Linked DNA regions of Xenopus tropicalis. The protein of the gene in region 2 purifies or fractionates together with the protein of the main gene of each other region. This does not show direct contact. Links are inferred from orthologs where the notes say so. Each region holds a gene or a part of one and is shown on either strand. Other genes may lie near its edges.

Region 1 (4,537 bases), on a different chromosome or scaffold from region 2:
AGTGAGGGTGCCAGTCAGTCAGTGAGTGTAGGAGTGAGGGTGCCAGTCAGTCAGTGAGTGTAGGAGTGAGGGTGCCAGTCAGTGAGTGAGTGTAGGAGTGAGGGTGCCAGTCAGTGAGTGAGTGTATGTAGGAGTGAGGGTGCCAGTCAGTCAGTGAGTGTAGGAGTGAGGGTGCCAGTCAGTCAGTGAGTGTTTGTAAGAGTGAGGGTGCCAGTCAGTCAGTGAGTGTATGTAAGAGTGAGGGTGCCAGTCAGTGAGTGAGTGTATGTAAGAGTGAGGGTGCCAGTCAGTCAGTGAGTGTATGTAGGAGTGAGGGTGCCAGTCAGTCAGTGAGTGTATGTAGGAGTGAGGGTGCCAGTCAGTGAGTGAGCGTATGTAAGAGGGAGGGTGCCAGTCAGTGAGTGAGTGTATGTAGGAGTGAGGGTGCCAGTCAGTGAGTGAGTGTATGTAAGAGGGAGGGTGCCAGTCAGTCAGTGAGTGTATGTAAGAGGGAGGGTGCCAGTCAGTCAGTGAGTGTATGTAAGAGTGAGGGTGCCAGTCAGTCAGTGAGTGTATGTAGGAGTGAGGGTGCCAGTCAGTCAGTGAGTGTATGTAAGAGTGAGGGTGCCAGTCAGTGAGTGAGTGTATGTAAGAGGGAGGGTGCCAGTCAGTGAGTGAGTGTATGTAAGAGTGAGGGTGCCAGTGAGTGAGTGAGGGTGCCAGTCAGTCAGTGAGTGTATGTAGGAGTGAGGGTGCCAGTCAGTGAGTGAGTGTATGTAAGAGGGAGGGTGCCAGTCAGTCAGTGAGTGTATGTAGGAGTGAGGGTGCCAGTCAGTCAGTGAGTGTATGTAAGAGGGAGGGTGCCAGTCAGTCAGTGAGTGTATGTAGGAGTGAGGGTGCCAGTCAGTGAGTGAGTGTATGTAAGAGTGAGGGTGCCAGTCAGTCAGTGAGTGTATGTAAGAGGGAGGGTGCCAGTCAGTGAGTGAGTGTATGTAAGAGTGAGGGTGCCAGTGAGTGAGTGAGGGTGCCAGTCAGTCAGTGAGTGTATGTAGGAGTGAGGGTGCCAGTCAGTCAGTGAGTGTATGTAGGAGTGAGGGTGCCAGTCAGTCAGTGAGTGTATGTAGGAGTGAGGGTGCCAGTCAGTCAGTGAGTGAGTGTATGTAGGAGTGAGGGTGCCAGTCAGTCAGTGAGTGTATGTAAGAGGGAGGGTGCCAGTCAGTCAGTGAGTGTATGTAGGAGTGAGGGTGCCAGTCAGTGAGTGAGTGTATGTAAGAGTGAGGGTGCCAGTCAGTGAGTGAGTGTATGTAAGAGGGAGGGTGCCAGTCAGTGAGTGAGTGTATGTAAGAGTGAGGGTGCCCAGTGAGTGAGTGAGGGTGCCAGTCAGTCAGTGAGTGTATGTAGGAGTGAGGGTGCCAGTCAGTCAGTGAGTGTATGTAGGAGTGAGGGTGCCAGTCAGTCAGTGAGTGTATGTAGGAGTGAGGGTGCCAGTCAGTGAGTGAGTGTATGTAGGAGTGAGGGTGCCAGTCAGTCAGTGAGTGTATGTAGGAGTGAGGGTGCCAGTCAGTCAGTGAGTGTATGTAGGAGTGAGGGTGCCAGTCAGTGAGTGAGTGTATGTAGGAGTGAGGGTGCCAGTCAGTGAGTGAGTGTATGTAGGAGTGAGGGTGCCAGTCAGTGAGTGAGTGTATGTAGGAGTGAGGGTGCCAGTCAGTGAGTGAGTGTATGTAGGAGTGAGGGTACCAGTCAGTGAGTGAGTGTATGTAGGAGTGAGGGTGCCAGTCAGTGAGTGAGTGTATGTAGGAGTGAGGGTGCCAGTCAGTCAGTGAGTGTATGTAGGAGTGAGGGTGCCAGTCAGTCAGTGAGTGTATGTAGGAGTGAGGGTGCCAGTCAGTCAGTGAGTGTATGTAGGAGTGAGGGTGCCAGTCAGTCAGTGAGTGTATGTAGGAGTGAGGGTGCCAGTCAGTGAGTGAGTGTATGTAGGAGTGAGGGTGCCAGTCAGTCAGTGAGTGTATGTAGGAGTGAGGGTGCCAGTCAGTGAGTGAGTGTATGTAGGAGTGAGGGTGCCAGTCAGTCAGTGAGTGTATGTAAGAGGGAGGGTGCCAGTCAGTGAGTGAGTGTATGTAAGAGGGAGGGTGCCAGTCAGTGAGTGAGGGTGCCAGTCAGTCAGTGAGTGTATGTAGGAGTGAGGGTGCCAGTCAGTCAGTGAGTGTATGTAAGAGGGAGGGTGCCAGTCAGTCAGTGAGTGTATGTAGGAGTGAGGGTGCCAGTCAGTCAGTGAGTGTATGTAAGAGGGAGGGTGCCAGTCAGTGAGTGAGTGTATGTAGGAGTGAGGGTGCCAGTCAGTGAGTGAGTGTATGTAAGAGGGAGGGTGCCAGTCAGTGAGTGAGTGTATGTAAGAGGGAGGGTGCCAGTCAGTGAGTGAGTGTATGTAGGAGTGAGGGTGCCAGTCAGTCAGTGAGTGTATGTAGGAGTGAGGGTGCCAGTCAGTGAGTGAGTGTATGTAGGAGTGAGGGTGCCAGTCAGTGAGTGAGTGTATGTAAGAGGGAGGGTGCCAGTCAGTGAGTGAGTGTATGTAGGAGTGAGGGTGCCAGTCAGTGAGTGAGTGTATGTAAGAGGGAGGGTGCCAGTCAGTGAGTGAGTGTATGTAGGAGTGAGGGTGCCAGTCAGTGAGTGAGTGTATGTAAGAGGGAGGGTGCCAGTCAGTCAGTGAGTGAGTGTAGGAGTGAGGGTGCCAGTCAGTCAGTGAGTGTATGTAAGAGGGAGGGTGCCAGTCAGTGAGTGAGTGTATGTAAGAGTGAGGGTGCCAGTCAGTGAGTGAGTGTATGTAGGAGTGAGGGTGCCAGTCAGTCAGTGAGTGTATGTAGGAGTGAGGGTGCCGGTGAGTGAGTGAGTGAGTGAGGGTGCCAGTGAGTGAGGGTGCCAGTGAGTGAGGGTGCCAGCCATTGCCCGTACTTACCCTGTCACCCCACAAGCGGCAGATTCGGTCCCAGAGCTCCCAGCCCTTCCGTTTCCGCCCTGGTCCCGTCAGTGAAGCCAAACTCAGCTGAAACCGCAGGTGACGCTACGCGCATGCCTTCTGAGAACCTGTCAAGGACGTCACTTCCGGTGCAAAGGGCCGCCCTGAATATAATTCCGACTGGAAAACTGTATTTCACAGACGTTTCGCTGCTAGAGGTCCGGCTCCCTACAGCGCAAAGCCCTCTTGTAGCGGATATTCGCTCACAGTATCTTCCTGCTCATCTATTAAATTAGCCAATCACTGTATCTCCAGGCGATTAGTGCCCGCCCCCCTGGATAAGATCTACTAAAAACAGAAAGCGGCAGGGACCAAACAGCATGAAAGGGCAAAACGTACGATTAATGGGGTAGCGATGAGCTGCTCAGGCCTGTGACGGGAGGTGAGTAGGGAAGGACACAGGGGTACCCAGGGGCACCCTAGGACTTGTGGGACGGGAGTGCAGGGGGGGCAGGATTTGGGGAGTAGAACTGGGAAGAGAATTTGAGGGAAATGGAAGGTGGGGGGGGGGGGGGGTTCTACAGTTCATGAGTCTGAATAGTATGAGAGGTGGGAGCTGCCCTACTGCTTGTGTAGCCCCGGCACCAACATGTCTTCTCTCTCCCTGTAAGGTCAGAATGGTGAGAAAAGGAGACACCCCAGGTGCATCCAGACTCCCTGCATCTCGTCTGTAACGGCCATTGTGTTCCCCCCATCCCTGCATCACCCCAGCCCAGGGGGCAAAGGGTAAGTACCATGGATATGAAATATATACTGCACTCCATAGGTACAACTGGTTACATTGAATTGTAAGCTCACTGGGACTGAGGGGAATGTGATGGGGACCTTAGATTGTAAGCTCACTGGGGCAGGGACTGATGGGAATGGGATAGGGACCTTAGATTGTAAGCTCACTGGGGCAGGGACTGATGGGAATGGGATAGGGACCTTAGATTGTAAGCTCACTGGGGCAGGGACTGATGGGAATGGGATAGGGACCTTAGATTGTAAGCTCACTGGGGCAGGGGCTGATGGGAATGGTATAGGGGCCTTAGATTGTAAGCTCACTGGGGCAGGGGCTGATGGGAATGGGATAGGGACCTTAGATTGTAAGCTCACTGGGGCAGGGGCTGATGGGAATGGTATGGGGCCTTAGATTGTAAGCTCACTGGGGCAGGGACTGATGGGAATGGTATAGGGGCCTTAGATTGTAAGCTCACTGGGGCAGGGGCTGATGGGAATGGGATAGGGACCTTAGATTGTAAGCTCACTGGGGCAAGGGGCTGATGGGAATGGGATAGGGACCTTAGATTGTAAGCTCACTGGGGCAGGGACTGATGGGAATGTGATAGGGACCTTAGATTGTAAGCTCACTGGGGCAGGGACTGATGGGAATGGGATAGGGACCTTAGATTGTAAGCTCACTGGGGCAGGGGCTGATGGGAATGGGATAGGGACCTTAGATTGTAAGCTCACTGGGGCAGGGGCTGATGGGAATGGGATAGGGCCCTTAGATTGTAAGCTCACTGGGGCAGGGGCTGATGGGAATGGGATAGGGCCCTTGGA
Region 2 (4,437 bases):
AATGTGGGATTTATAAAGCAAGAATTGGAAATAGAAACAAAATGGAGTTACCACATGTACAGTGTAGTTGCCTTTGGAAGTGACTCCATCCCCAATGATTATTTCCAAATTTACTTCAGCATTAACTCTGGTGCCTCAGCTCATTAACACTCAATGAATTCCTCCTTTGACCCCATCCTACTGTTCAGTAATAATGAAATGAAATAAGTTGATGGCTTAAAAATACTCCAGAGCTGATCATTTTGTGTTAATACATATGTTTTTTGCTGCTTGCAAAGTAGTGGTTATCTTGGGTCAGCATTTGCTGCTCTGGGGGCTTCTGCAAGCAGTTTCAGTTGTCCCTGACAGCAGTGCAGACTGAGTGTCAAATCCTGGGGATAAGAGAAACTGGTAGAGAGACTGGTTGGGTATGCCAGTAGGAATTACAAATGCAGCTGCAAGCTAATCACCTTTTCTAAAACTGTGTGTGTTCTATGAAAAAATTGAAATAATTATAGTAATACAGGGGAAAATTGATCAGGCATAGAGTGCAGGTTCAGTAATAAGAAATAAACCTTGTATATATGTCTGCCTTTGCCCACTGTAAAGGGAAGAAGTAGATCAAGCTGCTGGCAGCGAGAAGGATTATTGGAACTTCACAAGAAGAAAGAGAGACTTGAAGAACTTGGAGCCCATTCCTGCACAGCCAGAAGAGGTAAGGCATAAAGTCTGAGTCACAAGAAAAGTTCCTATTGTCCAGCCATTATACTACAGTTTATATTAATATGAACCAATGACTTATAATGGTAAGTGCTTGCTACACTCCCCAGCCTTGCTTGATATGGGAAAAACATACACTGCCTATTACTTTAAATCTTATAATAAAGTAAGTGCTTAACAATGTCTCCCTCCGATGCTTTTAGGAGTAGTCAAGGCAGCATAATCCCTGTCTTTTTCATTTATTATTATAGCATTAATTGTATTGATGGCAGTAAGAGTCATGTTCTTTAAATGAACAAGAATGGAAAGGGTTATGTGCAGTACTCACCGTCCTCACTTCTCTTTGCTTGTATGTATATATGCTGTATATTAAGAAATATGAATTTTGTCTCTTTTAAATTAAAATAATCATTCTTCTAAAATGTCTGCTTACTGACGAATACTGATTTATTTTTTTTTACATTACATTTAAGGTTAAAGACATTCCCAAACGGCCATTGTCTCAGTGCTTATCTACAATTATGTCTCCTTTATTTGCAGAGGTAGGTACATTTTGTCTATTCTTTGGCTCATTCTTGTTTTAATGAGCAGCTGCCCCTAAGGGTAAGACTGATGCCACATGGGGCTGATTCTCGGCTTGTTGAAAAATGCAGACCAAGAATCGGCACCCTTCGCTGGTATCAGCTGCCTTCTTTGCCTTCACCTGGAGCCATTGTGTTGCCCAGGGTGCAGGCACATGCAGGAGATATTGGTAAAGAAATGCCGCATGTGCCCAGACTCGCACATTTGTTCTGGGTGCAGCCAAAGAAGAAGGCTGATGCCAGCTTAGGGGCTAATTCTCAGACTTTCCCACAGACCGAGAATCATCCCAGTGTGGCATTAGCCTTAGACTTTTGCATTTTTTTCTACTTTCAGCTGAAGGAGAAGAGTCAAGCGTGTGGCGGGAACGTAGGCTCAATAGAGGAACTGAGAGAGGCAATTTATTTAGCTGAAGAGGCCTGTCCGGGTATCTCGGACTCCATGGTATCACAGCTTCTTATTAGGCTTCAGAGGTGAGAACTAACATTTTGCATGGATTTGTTTCTTGCTGATCACATATATCAATGTGTGCGTGAGTGTTGTGTATTTCACCGTGACCTGGTTCTGCATAGCAATAGTTTCAATTTAGTATTTACCACTTGTTTTGCCACCGGGACACCACACAGTAATAGAGAAAAGACAATTTAGTTGGTTAAGGAGTCAAATTTCACACAATTTAATTCAAAGCTTTATACTTAAATGAAACCTTTGGAGCACACAATAACCCAGACAGTAATTTAACTTAATTGTTTCCTTTGGAGAGAGTGGGACCTACCTAGATTGGATTTGGTATGCCGAATGCTTGGAACTTTTTTTTCTTTGCTTCTGTCTCTTGCTCTAAGGCTAAAATATACTAAAATGATATAGTATATGTGACCCCCCCCCCCCCCCCCCCCAAACTTGTAGGCAATAATGAATAATATGTGGTGCAGATTTCACTCAGGGCTAAAAATGATCATTATCTTTAAAAAATGGCCCCTTTTATTGGAGCTCCCTGTAGATTTGCCCTCTCCTTGTTTCAAATAAGGTGTACCAGAAGCACAGTAGAAGCGGGATAGCCAATCACAGCCCTGCAGTCACACACACAATGGCAGGTTTCAGGTCCTTATCAGTTACACCTAGCTGCTGATTGGTTCCTGTCCTACAATGCAGTGTGCTAAGTGCTTCTGGTTCCTTTGCACAGCCTGGGAAAGGAGGCAGTAGGAAGTGAAACAGATGGGTGGGACTGTTTTTGGAGAACTTTTCAATAAATCAGCCTTGCAACACTTATTTTTAAAGCACATTTCTTCTATGTTTAGAGGAGTATAATGCAGTGGCACATTCTAGTTTTTTACTATGGATGTACTAAATCCAGGATTCGGCCTAAATTCAGCTTTTTCCACAAGATTAGGATTTGGCAGAATCCATGCTCCTGGCTGAACCAAATCTGAATCCTAAAAATCATGTGACTTTTTGTCACATAAACATAGAAGTTGAAAATGTTTCACTGTCACTTTGTGTGCGGTTCTCCTTAACCCTTCCTTTTCCTAATCGTCAAATGCAAATTAGGATTTGGGTTGGTTTTCGGACAAATCTTTCACAAAAGAAGAGGATGGCTTGGTTGGCGGAACCCCAGGCTGGTGCTCCAGACTGCCAAAAACTGCACCGGCCCTGGGTTCCTTCAACCAAGCCATCCTCGGGCAAGTGATTACAAACGCTGGGCGTACCAAACGTTTGGCAACCAAAATAATAACCAAAATAATTGGCTGCCCTTCGTTACTCCTTTCCTATTCTTGCATTACAGGTATTCCGTTAATGGAGTGGACTCTTCCTCGCACTGAAGAATGTTTTCCTCCTTTTTAAGGCAAAAATGGACCTTGCATTATTATCCCTATCGTACTTGCCTCTGCTCATGGATATCACAGGACATGGACATTCCTGAATGATGAGTGACTAAACATAGGGAAATGGTGAAAGCTATAGTTTTTATGATTTTCTTTTCCTTTTTTTTTTTCTAATCATAGTACGAATATATAAAAATGTAAAAACAAAAAACTCTGCAAAGTACTGTGATAAGGCAAATGAAGATATTGTGAAACCTCAGGTATCTTGCTTTAAGCAGTCAGTTCTGCTGGAGATGGAATGAAAGCTCTGTGCAATTCTTGTACAATAAATTACTCCATCAGATGCCTCAGCCTTCCTTCCTCAAGCGGCTGTCAGCTCCCAGCATGCCCCAGCAGTTGAAGGGTATGAATACTGGGTAATGCAAATCACAGCAGCTGGAGGGACGTGGGCTGACATCCCAGCTTTACAGTTGACTATTTACTAGAGTTTGCCAACCTACAAACTGACCCAGGGCATCCCTAGTTGCAAGAGGGGAATGGAGCCACACACGCTTTGTGTATGGATTTCATGTTTGGCAGCCATACTTATGTTTTATGTTCATGGTTTAAGTCAAGCGCCAAGTGAGTTTTGTTACCTACATATAGAAGCCCCTTTGGACATCTGTTAGATAAAACCAGTTTAATGTTTTGTCAGAATACATATGACATTGTACAGTATTGCTATTTTCTTCAGAACACACGCAGTGGCATTTAGATATGTCTTCAGTACATTTATCGATACATATTATTTGTATATACTTTAAAAGACAGAGGATCGGTACTGTCACAATGGAGTTTTAATGTTTTTAATTTATAGATATGTCTGAAATATGTAAGGCACAGCCTCATCACTAGGATAAGTTATGAGAATATTATAACCCTATACGTACAGAAATGCCTGCAGTTACATCATTCTATACGTGTCACTGATTGGTCTGTGCAGACAGCGGCGGAGCAGTGTCTGTAGCAGGGAGGATCCTGTGACTGTGGGTGAGTGTGAATGGTGAGCTAGTGTGACAGTAACACCGTGTCAGGGCTATCCTGCGTGCCACCCTCCAGCTGCTGAACTACAACATCCAGCACCCGCAACAGTCACAATGTGCTGGCAGTGCCCCCTGCTAGATGCCACAGGTTTATATATAGAGCGAACACAGTTGAAAACTATTATTGTATTTTCATTATTTCGTTTTTTTCTGCTTTCCCTGATAACATTCCTTAGTTAGTGGGCTATACCTACTAAGCAGGAATGCCAGCATTGCAAACCACATATGCCTAGAAAACTGCAGCCCTATATGGG
Region 3 (4,437 bases), on a different chromosome or scaffold from region 2:
GAGAAAATCATGATTCAAGGCAGTGCAGGTTTAAAGCCGTGCAGCTCATGCCTTTCCTTAGTCTTTCATTTGCATTATTATCCCCATAACTGCTGCCAATATGATTATCGGTACGTAGTTCAGTGAGTACATTACGCTCAAACTTTATTTAGGCGTAAAGCCTCATACATCTGAGGTAGATATAACCTATTTTTCTTGTTTTATCAACACAAGACAGGTCTGTCAATCTACTGGCTTGTGTTATAATGTTTCAAAAGCCAGAGCCACTAGGGCAAAGAATAGAAAGGACAAGGCAGACACTGCTTTAAATAGCATTTATATATACAAATAAATAAAAAAACCATTAAGTATTTGTAGTTGAGCTGCTCCTTTTAAATGAGCAGTTTTTGCCATTAGATTAATGCTTAATGTTTTAATACATTTTTTGTTGTGTTTTTTTTAAAAAAAATTTGGAGATTGAAGCTACTTCATGTTTGGTCCTTGTGAGGTAGATAGATTACCAGCTGTTATATTCCATCTGCCTGTACATGTAGTTTTCAGGGGGGAATAAGCTATGGTAGACAAGTAAACAAGAGGATCAGGAGCATAGAAACACGGCTTTATTTTTACTCTTCCCAACCACCATTCAGGGTAACTTTTACACTCTTGGAACTTTCGGGGCTTCTCGCAATCCCCAGTAACCTGCACGCTAGGGGACTTGGGCTTCTTACAGAGCCCTGCTAACTCTCCCCTTCTAGTTCACCTGCCACTGGCCAGGCTCACCTGCTGGCAGCACCACACATCCTGCAACACAAGGAGATCTCTGGAGAGAATTACTGTGTAACTCTTATTTGCTGCTTATCTGCTGCTTAATCGGGCAGCTCCCTTCAACTGGGCAAATGCACACTCTAAAGGTGGCCATACACGCACCGATAATATTGTATGAAACCTCGTTTCGTACGATATTCGGTGCGTGTATGGTATGTCGGCGAGTCGACCGATAACGCAGGAAGCTGCTGATATCGGCCGACTCGCCGATCGGGCGCCGTAGAAGGCGCCTGACCAAAATCTCCCTTCAGCGCTGAATCGGCAGAAGGAGGTAGAAATCCTATTGTTTCTACCTCCTTACCTGCCGATTCAGCCCTGAATGGTGTGTGGCGGGTCAGATCGCCACGTGTATGGCCAGCTTAAATAGAGTACAAATTGGAAGGCCTATCCTACTCTCCTTCATCTACTTCAGGGACCCATTTATCTGCCTTTTCCTAGAGAAAATCCAGAGCCTTCCCTTTGTGTGAACGGCAGTCTATGACCCCATTTGATTGGTCACAACACATTGATATCATGTCACGCCTCCCAGTGATGTCATTCCATGCCGCTTCTGGTTTCTTGTAATGGTATTGTAAATACAATAGGAGCTGTGTGGGAGTTGATATGAAGTTTGTGGCTACCCTGCACTGAGTTGTTGCTGGGCCAGTTGTACTTTCACAGAAAATGGTTATTATTGATATTCAAAAAAAAATAAATAAAAAATAGGTGAATGTATGGCTGGGCAGGGTGCAACCCCCATAAGGGTGCATAATATTGCAGATGTTCAAGGACTTTTTTTCTTTGGCATTTAATAAAAACATAATTAAACTTTGCTGTAGAGCCATAAAATCATTGCTTTTGCTTCATAGCTTTTTTTTTTTTTTTTAACTTTTCGTTTGGTATTAATGTGTACTTTTAATTCTAGATACTATATACGATGAAGATGAGGTTCTTTTGGCACTCGCAGAACAACTGGGAAGCTTCACTAGCCTTGTTGGTGGTTCAGAATTTGTTCATTGTCTTCTAGTAAGTACTTTTTTTTCATGATTACGATCTGTTAAAACTAATTTGCTAAAGGGACATTCATGAGCTGTTGTGAAATTGTGAAGCTGTGAATCTTGAAAAGGAATAAATGCGTGCTTGTAGCATTTAGGCCCCTTTTACAGGTAGCAGAAACACACCACCTGCGTGGAGAGTAACTGTCTTGAATGCATACTGCCTGTTACTTTAAGTGATGGTGCATATATAGTGTGTACTGTAATAAGTAGATCGCAGTCAAGACAGCTGCTCCACTTATCAGGCAGAACCACTGGCATGATCAGCTCCAGTAAATAGTTTGTGTTCTTACCCCCGCTTCTTACAATTTCCTCCTTTATTCCATAAAATGGGCAGGCAGGTTAATTACCTCCAGATATGTAATATAGATTGACTCTAGTGTTTAAATGTAAGGGGGAATTAGATTGTAAATTCCACTTGGACAGTGACTTTTTGAATAATCTGTCTTTGTAAAGTTTGTTCAAGCAGCTATCATTCCCAAGAAATATATTGCATTACTTTTTTTGTGAGTTTCTGGATTGCTATTTAAATAGTCCGTTTACTTTTAGAGTCCAAAATTTTTTTGGCCTGCAAAATAAATGAGCATTTAAACTTGGCCTGATTCTTTTTTTGGTTGTTTGCATTCATTATACAAATACTGTATGTAGTTCACTAATGCTTGCTGTGAAGAGTGTCTCTAGTGTAACATTTATAGTGAAATGCAAGGTTAGCATTTTAAGGTATATTTTCCCTTCATTGTAGCAGGCTGCCTGTACATATATCATGGACACTGAAATGTACCTCCAAGGGTGAATTTCATGCCTTTTATATGTCTTTTTTTGCAATCCACCCAAGATCAATTTCTGCTGATTCCCAAATTGTTTCATGACATTTGCCTGAAACTCAGTGCCTGATCAAAACAACTTTCAACTGTTAAAATCGCATGACTTTAGACCATATGACAACAGACAGTTCGTTTTTCTTAGTATTTTTTCCTCCCATTGCCTCAATGTTCTATTGGGTTGAAATATCTGTGTCTTCATTTGCAGCCTGTGAATTGTGTTGTAAGTACTCTAGGGGCAGCGATTTCCCGAAATCCAGAAAACCCCAGGTCCTTAGCATTCTGGATAACAGGTCCCCTACCTTTAGTAGCTTCCATGAGCATTTTTAAGCAGATCTGTCATTGCTACATGTTCTTCAGGCACTGTTTCTCATAGATTACTATGGAAATTAGTGACTGGCTTTTTGAAACGTTTTTTGACGGTTGCTGCTTTCTACCTGATCCAAATACCTCGTATCCCGTTAGCCGTAAGTCTGTGGGAGAAACGTGTGGGTGGGAATGAGCCAACTAACAGCCTAGTAGAGCCAAATTTTAAAATGCTATTTGGATACCTAGTAGTGGCCTGCACTAGTCTTTTCAGTGGCCAGCACAACACCCGAGATTCTGTAGAAAAACTAATATATTATGGGGTTGTCCTTCCTAAATTAACTTTTAGTATGACACAGATAGTGATATTCTGAGACAATTTGCATTTTTTTTTTCATTTGTATTTTATTTAGCTATTTGTTCAGCAGCTCTTAGTTTGACATTTTAGTAACTGGTTGCTAGGTTCTTGTTTACCAGGGGGTGGTTTTAATGAGAGACTGCAATATGAATAGGAGAGGGAAAGGTTTTTGGCTGTCTGGATCAGTGACCGCCATTTGACAGCTGGAAAAATGTAGAATAGGAAGGCGATAATATTTACAGGTTTAAAATAATGAAGACCAGTTGGAGAGTTGCTAGGAGTAGGACATTATTAATGTAAGGGTGAACCACCCCTTTAACATCGTAAAACTGTTAATTTTCATATTAAGGTAAATTGTATAAGTGCCCAAAAGCAATTTGATGGGTATTTTCTGTGAGGTTTAGTAGCACTTTCATTGATGGCTTTTCCCTGGGGAAAAGAAATTTCTTAATAGCTGTGGCCCACATGATCTGATTTCCATTAACTGCTGTAGGGCACTTCCTGCACATTTGAGTGCAGATGAGAGGAGGAGCTTGCTTTGATAAAAACACCTGTATGCTACAGGCCTCCACTTTATCTAACTGTTTGCACAGATTCATACTATTTTATGTGTGTGTAAAACAAAAAGACAGATGGAACTTATACTGCTATACCCCAATGTGTTATCAATTTCATAAACGTACATAAAAGTTGCTCTGTAGACGAGCTTTGTCCTCTGTTGGCTTCAGCTACAAAGTCGCATCTGGCTCCCCACTTCCCTGCCAATCTACTTTGTGCGTCAGCAAGTAAAGCTGCCAGGATCTTAGATCTCTTGTGAGCCTATTCTGCCTTCTGGAACAATCGCCTTGCAAGTGCTGCTGCTGCTGAGACATTAGGTGCCATCTGGGGGGCCCTGCTTCCTTGGCGCCTTTCCCAATTGTGAGCTCAGTTTGGCAGCCATTAAATATTTTTCTCCACGTCACCAGCCCAGTTAAAGCTAATTTATGTGGGTTGATAGCAGATGTTGCTGCATAAACTTGAATAAAACAGGCAGGCCCAGGTGGCAATATACACACATTAAGCTTACATTATTGAATTTAAGGTAATCGGTGATAGGGTCTTGTGCACATTC

Evidence for each region.
Region 1: the proteins of stk24 (region 2) and fgfr1op2 purify together in Homo sapiens (affinity purification with mass spectrometry; 4 studies listed by BioGRID and IntAct, with this or other methods). This does not show direct contact. The link is inferred for Xenopus tropicalis from reciprocal best matches to the Homo sapiens genes STK24 and FGFR1OP2.
Region 3: the proteins of stk24 (region 2) and ppp2r1b purify together in Homo sapiens (affinity purification with mass spectrometry; 3 studies listed by BioGRID and IntAct, with this or other methods). This does not show direct contact. The link is inferred for Xenopus tropicalis from reciprocal best matches to the Homo sapiens genes STK24 and PPP2R1B.

What each region holds. Positions count from the first base shown.
Region 1 is NC_030679.2:2,582,683-2,587,219, reverse strand, and holds the start of fgfr1op2 (FGFR1 oncogene partner 2 homolog), read right to left. Parts: upstream 3,037-4,537; 5' UTR 2,933-3,036; intron 1-2,932. UniProt on the Homo sapiens protein: May be involved in wound healing pathway.
Region 2 is NC_030678.2:121,399,870-121,404,306, forward strand, and holds the end of stk24 (serine/threonine-protein kinase 24), read left to right. Parts: intron 1-588; coding exon 589-694; intron 695-1,172; coding exon 1,173-1,241; intron 1,242-1,614; coding exon 1,615-1,751; intron 1,752-3,061; coding exon 3,062-3,098; 3' UTR 3,099-4,035; downstream 4,036-4,437. UniProt on the Homo sapiens protein: Serine/threonine-protein kinase that acts on both serine and threonine residues and promotes apoptosis in response to stress stimuli and caspase activation.
Region 3 is NC_030683.2:84,351,141-84,355,577, reverse strand, and holds part of ppp2r1b (serine/threonine-protein phosphatase 2A 65 kDa regulatory subunit A beta isoform), read left to right. Parts: intron 1-1,711; coding exon 1,712-1,812; intron 1,813-4,437. UniProt on the Homo sapiens protein: The PR65 subunit of protein phosphatase 2A serves as a scaffolding molecule to coordinate the assembly of the catalytic subunit and a variable regulatory B subunit.